2 linked regions of the Anolis sagrei genome follow. The protein of the gene in region 1 purifies or fractionates together with the protein of each later gene. This does not show direct contact. Links are inferred from orthologs where the notes say so. Each region holds a gene or a part of one and is shown on either strand. Other genes may lie near its edges.

The links. The genes of interacting proteins can lie anywhere in the genome.
Region 2: the proteins of DUSP1 (region 1) and SKP2 purify together in Homo sapiens (affinity purification with western blotting; 3 studies listed by BioGRID and IntAct, with this or other methods). This does not show direct contact. The link is inferred for Anolis sagrei from reciprocal best matches to the Homo sapiens genes DUSP1 and SKP2.

Annotation. Positions count from the first base shown.
Region 1 is NC_090022.1:100,932,478-100,936,224, forward strand, and holds the start of DUSP1 (dual specificity protein phosphatase 1), read left to right. Parts: upstream 1-1,137; 5' UTR 1,138-1,405; coding exon 1,406-1,769; intron 1,770-2,613; coding exon 2,614-2,762; intron 2,763-2,988; coding exon 2,989-3,208; intron 3,209-3,687; coding exon 3,688-3,747. UniProt on the Homo sapiens protein: Dual specificity phosphatase that dephosphorylates MAP kinase MAPK1/ERK2 on both 'Thr-183' and 'Tyr-185', regulating its activity during the meiotic cell cycle.
Region 2 is NC_090022.1:279,561,405-279,565,151, reverse strand, and holds the start of SKP2 (S-phase kinase-associated protein 2), read left to right. Parts: upstream 1-1,388; 5' UTR 1,389-1,566; coding exon 1,567-1,574; intron 1,575-2,586; coding exon 2,587-2,837; intron 2,838-3,747. UniProt on the Homo sapiens protein: Substrate recognition component of a SCF (SKP1-CUL1-F-box protein) E3 ubiquitin-protein ligase complex which mediates the ubiquitination and subsequent proteasomal degradation of target proteins involved in cell cycle progression, signal transduction and transcription.

The DNA.
Region 1 (3,747 bases):
CGTCCTTTCCTCATGCAGTCTACGTTGTGTAGACTGTGGTTTACTTATATAGAGCCCTCAGTAGCACAGTGGGTTAAACCCTCGTGCCGGCAGGACTGAAGACTGACAGGTCGTAGGTTCGAATATGGGGAGAGTGTGGATGAGCTCCCTGTCAGCTCCAGCTCCCCATGCAGGGACATGAGAGAAGCATGGTAAAACATCAAAACATCCGGGCGTCCCCTGGGCAATGTCCTTGCGACGGCCAATTCTCTCACAACAGAAGTGACTTGCAGTTTCTCAAGTCACTTCTGATACGAAAAAAAAATGTATATAGAGACCCACTCGCATGTATTATTGAAGGCTTTCATGGCAACACCAGAGGCGCGCCAAGTGGCCAGCTACTGGTCAAAGGACATTTAATAGAATACCAAGTCTGCAAACTTTGTGTTTTGTTTGTTTGTTTGTTTGTTTAATGCAATGAAACTGTTTGGTTAGCTCCTGACAGGATAAATAAATAAATAAATATGGCCGGAATCACGGGGTTGCTGTGAGTTTTCCGGGCTGCATGGCCATGTTCCAGTAACATTCTCTCCTGACGTTTCGCCTGCATCTAGGGCAGGCATCCTCAGAGGTTGTGAGGTTATCTCGCCTGTTTGATAGAAATGAGGTAAAGAGGAGGCAGCCTCGAGGCCTGGAGCGGATAGCCTTTCCTTGGAGAGGTCAGTCCACAAAGGGACGTGTTTGTGAAAGGAGGTTGTGTGGGTGAGGGAGCGATCGCTGCGGGGCTTCGCGTGCCCTTTCCTGGCCCTCCGAAAAGGCTGGGCTGGGCTACGGCCAGTGGCGCCCCTGCTGGGCGAAGAGCTCCCGAAGGAGGCCGAGGAGGGGCGGGCCCTTCCTTCCTTCCTTCCCTTCTTCCTTCCTCGGGGCTTTTGCGGCTCCGGGGTGACTTCGCTTTTCGAGCGATGACGCGAGCGCGCTCCCGGGGCGGGGAGTGTCCGCCTGGCTACCGGCCAAGTGACGTCTTCGCGGAGAGGTTGTCACGTGACCTCCTCCGGCCCCATTCACAAATAACAAAAAAAGAAGGCACAGAGGGCGGGAGGAGGGGGCGGGGACAAAGCCGAGGCTGCGCGCTCAGAAAGTATAAAAGCTGCCGTCCTCGCGCTCCCAAGCAGCAAGGAAAGCTCAGCCGCTGAAGCAAAGGCTGCGAGGAAAAGACTGAACTCAGCTCGGAACTTGTCATCTACGCACCAGGACTAGCCGCTCATTGAGAAAGCAAGAAGAAGGAGACCAAGAGAGAGAGAGAGAGGCGCGCCTGGGATTCCAAAGGAGTCCCTGAAAGAGAGAGAGAGAGAGAGAGAGAGAGAGAGGGAAGACGTCCGTCCCTCCCTTGGAGCTCCTTCTCGGCCGTGTTCCGGAGGCGCTGGCGATGGTCAACATGCAGGTGTGCGCCGTGGAGTGCGAGACGCTGCGCGAGCTGCTGGAGTCGGGGGCGGCGCTGGTGCTGGACTGCCGCTCCTTCCTGGCCTTCAACGCCTCGCACGTGGTGGGCTCGTGCAACGTGCGGCTCAGCTCCATCGTGCGCCGCCGGGCCAAGGGCGCCGTGGGCCTCGAGCACCTCCTGCCCAACGAGGAGGCCCGCGCCCGGCTCCGGCAGGGACGCTACCGCGCCGTCGTCCTCCTCGACGAGCGCAGCGCCGACCTGGAAGCGCCCAAGCGGGACAGCACCCTCCTCCTCGCCCTCCACGCCCTCGCCAGGGAGGCCCGCCAGGCCCGCCTCGCCTTCCTCAAAGGTGAGGCGACACGCCACGCAACGGGGAATTGAGGTGGGGGGGGGGGTCGGCACTTAGGCAAGAAGGGGGAAGGAGTCTATCCCATGGGAAAATTTAGCCCAGGAGGAAACAAGTTAGGCAAAAATAGGAAAGAAAACAGGCTTTCCTTTCGGGGAATTTGTGCCACCCAAAGGGACCCGCTAGTTAAAGATTTAGCCCACCAAGTTAGGCAAGCATGTTAACCATCTTTAACATGCTTGGGGGATAGAAGTGCCACCCAAAGGGACTCGCTGGCTAGAGATCTAGCCCAGAAGGAACAAAAGTTAAGCACAAACATGAAAGAAAACAGTCTATACGTATTTGTGCAATCCAAAGGGATCCGCTGGCTAAAATTTAACTCACCAGGAAGTGAGGCAAGAATATTAACCATCTTTTCTTGGGGGAAATGAGTGCCACCCAAAGGGATCAGCTGACTAGAGATTTAGCCCACCAGGAACCAAGTTAGGCACAAATATCGTTGGGGGGAAATTGTGCCACCCAAAGGGATCAGCTGGCTAGAAATTTGGCTCCAGAGGAACAAAAGTTAGGAATGAAGATGAACCATCTTTTCTTGGGGGAAATGAGTGCCACCCAAAGAGACCAGCTGACTAGAGATTTAGCCCACAAGGAACAAAAGTTGGGCAAGAATATGAAAGAAAATAATCTTTGCTTGAGGGAAGTAAGTGCCACCCAGAAAGGGACCAGTTGGGAGAGTGAGAACACGCTCTTTGTAACTTGTCTGTGATAATAAAGAATTTCCCTCATTCTCAAAGCAGCCCCTGAAAATAATAACCGTCCTTTTCTCCCTCTCTCTCCCCTTCTGTAGGCGGATATGATGCCTTTTCCTCCCTCTGCCCCGAACTGTGCACAAAGCCCTCGGCTCCCAAGGGTCTGACGCTGCCACTCAGCTCCAGCAACGCACCCGGCAGCGCCGATTCCAACTGCAACTCCTGCGGGACCCCACTGTATGACCAGGTCAGTTGGAAAACAATCTAGGGATGTTTCCTTTTCTCTCCCTCTCCCCCTGCCCTGAAACTGGGACACGGGTGGAAAAAACCGCTCTGCTTGGGAAGCAGTGACATTGAAAATGCAACGAATTCTCGATTTCAAAAGGGAGCAGTTGTGTGGAGACTGTGTAGAGGTGACGCTATCTTTCACCGGAGAGGATTAACGGATTGTGTTCTTCTCTCTTCTATTTCAGGGTGGCCCTGTGGAAATCCTGCCTTTCCTGTATTTGGGCAGTGCCTATCATGCGTCCAGGAAAGACATGCTGGATGCTTTGGGGATCACAGCCTTGATCAATGTTTCCGCCAACTGCCCGAACCATTTTGAAGGGCACTATCAGTACAAAAGCATCCCCGTGGAGGACAGCCACAAAGCCGACATCAGCTGCTGGTTTAATGAAGCCATCGATTTCATAGGTAAAGGACGTTTCTCTCTCCCTGCAGCATATGCAGATTGGAGGTTAAGAAATCGGTGTAATAGAGAGCTCCAGACACCTTTATAGCTGAGTTGAAGGGTATCTCTTTAGAGGTTTCAGAACAGCAGCATGTAAAATAAGCCATGTTGGAGCTTATGCCTCCCTCAGATAACAGCATTTATAAAGAGGGACATTGAATCTCAGTATGTTTGAGTATAATATGCACTGGCTATTATGCTGACAAAATGTTAATTTTTCAGTGCATATTGATAACTAGTAAGAGCAGGGGCCATCATCTTCAATGAGAGATGAAGCATCTGCATCCTATTTTGCATCAGTTTCTGCTCCCAGCCAAGTGGCTTGCTACCTTATACAATTAGGAAATAACCCCACTTTAGCACACGAAGTGAAATGTAGTTTTTACAAAAGCTTGATAAGAAAGTGCTTGCTAACAGTGATTTTTTAACTCATTGGTTTCAGACTCTGTTAAAAATGATGGTGGGCGAGTGTTCGTTCACTGCCAAGCCGGCATTTCCCGCT
Region 2 (3,747 bases), about 180 Mb from region 1:
CTACCTCTCTATATCTTTTTTATCTATCTATTTCTATATTTATCTATCTCCATATCTCTCTATTTATATCCATATCTATCTCTATATATCTATTTATATTTATCCATATCCATATTAATTTATTTATTTCAGTTACTTTTACCCCGCCCTTCTCACCCCCGAGGGGGGACTCAGGGCGGCTTACAAAGGAAGGCACAATTCGATGCCTATATCAAATATACATACATACATAACAGCACTTAAACAGTTAACAATTAAAATCATCAGTACATAACAATACACTAAAGGTAAAGGTAAAGGTAGTCCCCTGACATTAAGTCCAGTCATGTCTGACTCTGGGGTGTGGTGCTCATCTCCATTTCTAAGCCGAAGAGCCAGCATTGTCCGTAGACACCTCCAAGGTCATGTGGCCGGCATGACTGCATGGAGCGCCGTTACCTTCCCGCCGGAGCGGTACCTATTGATCTACTCACATTTTGCATGTTTTCGAACTGCTAGGTTGGCAGAAGCTAGGGCTGACAGCGGTAGCTCACGCCGCTCCCCGGAATCGAACCTGCGACCTTTCAATCAACAAGTTCAGCAGCTCAGTGCTTTAACGCCACCGGGGGCTCTAACAATACACTAACACAATAGTAAACTAATCCTATGCTCAGCGCTCAGAGTTCCGTAAATCCATTCCGTTTCGTCAATTCCTGCTCATCATCAAGGTCTTTCTTTAGCTGCCAGAATGTCCAAATGCCCGGTCCCACATCCAGGTCTTTAATTTTTTTCGAAGGGAATTCGCCGATCCAATCTCCCCGGGAAGTGAGTTCCACAGGTGAGGGGCCACCACCGAGAAGGCCCTGCTCCTCACACCCGCCAACCTCACTTGTGATAGAGGTGGGGTCGAGAGCAGGGCCTCCCCAAAGGATCTTAGACTCCGAAGTGGGACGTAGAGGGAGATCCGTTCGGACAAATACACTGGGCTGGAACCGTACAGGGTTTTGTAGGTCAAAGCCAGCACTTTGAATTGTGCTCGGAATTGGATCGGCAGCCAGTGGAGCTGACACAACAGGGGGGGGGGGGGGATATATTAATCTCTCTATACATCTGTTTATATCTATCTAGCTATCTATCTCCATATTCATTTCTCTCTATATCAATATCTATCTATATACATATCTATCTATATCCATATCTATCTGACTATATATCAATTTATATCTCTCTCTTTATCTATATCTATATCCATATTTTTCTATCTTATATCCATATCTATCTCTCTATATATCCATTTGTTGGATATAAGTTGCATTTTTGGGAAACTGAATCCCAAATTAGTTTAAAAATGAACATTTAAAAAAGTAACTTCTCCGCTGCAAAGCACTACCATTCCCAGGAGCCATTGCGAGATCCGGGAGAACGTTGGCCCGGGAAGGCGAAGCGCGCGAGCCTTTTTCTGCTGTGCGGGTTTTCCGGGGCTGCTGCTGCTGCTGAGAAGATTTGCTGGGTTTGGCGTTGCAAGAGAGGGAAAAAAGGGATCGGGGGGTCCTGGTTCTCCATGCAAAAGCCCCATTTGCAAGCACCATGCACAGGTAAAAGCGGATGGGTGCAAAGTGGTTACATTAGGGTGGAGAGCAGGGGGAATCGCAGTGGATCCCGCCCAAAACAAGGGATGGGATCACGCGCCTCTTTCCTCCCCCTTGGCTTCAGGATTTTAGCCATCATCCGGTGCAGTAGTATTTGATGGACATGTTCTTGCATTAAGTTATTTATGAATTGCAAACTTATTTTTTGTTTGGACTAGCGTGTTTGTAATTCCCAAATGTCTTAAGGTGCATATATATTGTAGATCAGGTAGGGGCAAATTTGGGTATTCCAGGTGTTTTGGACTTCAACTCCCACAATTCCTAACAGCCGGCAGCTGTTAGGAATTGTGGGAGTTGAAGTCCAAAACACCTGGAGTATCCAAATTTGCCCCTACCTGATCTATACTGTAAAAGAAATGCACTTATTATTATTATTTATTTATTTACAGCATTCATATTCCGCTCTTCTCACCCTACAAGGGACTCAGGAAGGATTACAATGCACATAAACATTCAGTGCCATAGACACACAACATATATAGACAGAGACACAGAGGCTGTTTAACACTCCAGCTTCATGAGGGTATGCATTTTGAATTCCAGCCACCGGGGGGAACTGTCACTTCACCATCCACTTGTGAGACCGATGGAGTACTTCCTCATTCTTTTGCACGCTGCTGGAGAGTTTTATGGCGTTGTAATTTATTTACCATATTTGTATACTACCCTTCTCAGCCTGAGGGGAAATATGCATCTTGGGACCCTTCTAGGCAGGCCCTATATCCCATGATCTCATCCAAGTTGTTCTGCTTTAAACTGGATTATATGAGTCCACACTGCCAGATAATCTGGGATAAACAGAAAACTTTGGATCAGATTCTGGGATATAGGGCCTGTCTGGAAGGGCCATTAGAATTGAGGAAATAGAGTATATCTGTAGCTCTCTCCTTCTGTTGTTCTTCACTTTCTTACGATATAAATGCCAGCTATATACCACCGTGTTTCCCTTCCTTTGTAGGAGACTTCTCCAGGAAATTCCAGATTCGGGCAGCAATGTCAACACGGACTTCATATGGGGATGGCATTCCAACAAGACGTCAGAGCTGCTGTCCGTCATGGGAGTCTCTGTCCTTAAGGATAAACTGGGCAACGAGAACACCCCCCAAGAGCTGCTGATGTGTGTGAGTCCACCCCAAAAACGGCAGAAAGTGAAGGAGGCAGAATTTGTGATTGTCCGCCGACCCAGGCGGCTCCTGGAGGTGGCGGCAGGTGAGATCGAGAATCGCAAAAAGACATTCAGGATTCCTAATTACTAATGGTAACAAATAAAGTGATTGAGCTTATTTGCTTTAAACGGTAATAGTAATTGTTTAATAGTCGTCATATAATAGCCATCACAATTTAATTATCTAGATCAGTGGTTCTCAACCTGTGGGTCCCCAAGTGTTTTGGCCAATAACTCCCAGAAATCCCAGCCAGTTTACCAGCTGTTAGGATTTTGGGAGTTGAAGCCCAAAACATCTTGGGACCCACAGGTTGAGAACCACTGATCTAGATCCTTTGCTGCAGCATTGCAAGGGATCTCTCCAGCTTCCTCTTCTTGACACGTCCCATAACTGGAAGAGTCCTGCAGATACTATTTCCCAATACAGGCAGCAAGATAGGTTCTGTATGTTCTTATGTAAGTCCAAACAGATACATTTTTAAGTATAACTCCAGTCTATCTATCTATCTATCTATCTTTGGATAGTATAGGGAAAGGTTAACATCCCTGTGGTGTTTGTCTTGCTGTCTGAGCCCCTGTTCAGAAGATTTCACCTAACTTTCTATCTCTGTAATAATCGGATTTTGATAAATTGGGCTTGTTGTGGAAGCAAGGATTGTTCATAAAGCCTCAGTGGAGATACCTTTTCCCCATGATTACTCTTCCAGGAGTAAATTTCTTCATCTAGGGGAAGATTTCTCTCCCTTCCTTTTGTCTCACCCCCGTTCTTCACTATGAGTTGTTTATAAGTCAGATGTTTATAACTCAGGGATTGCCTGAACCCTTGGAAGCCTTTTGGTTGGGACACTGCCGGACTGGAAAGATGGGTGCATCATCAGGCACAACTCCAATGACAGAGGTCCTATCATGTTAATTATTTCAATTTATGAAAGATATTAAGCTGGTATTGCACCA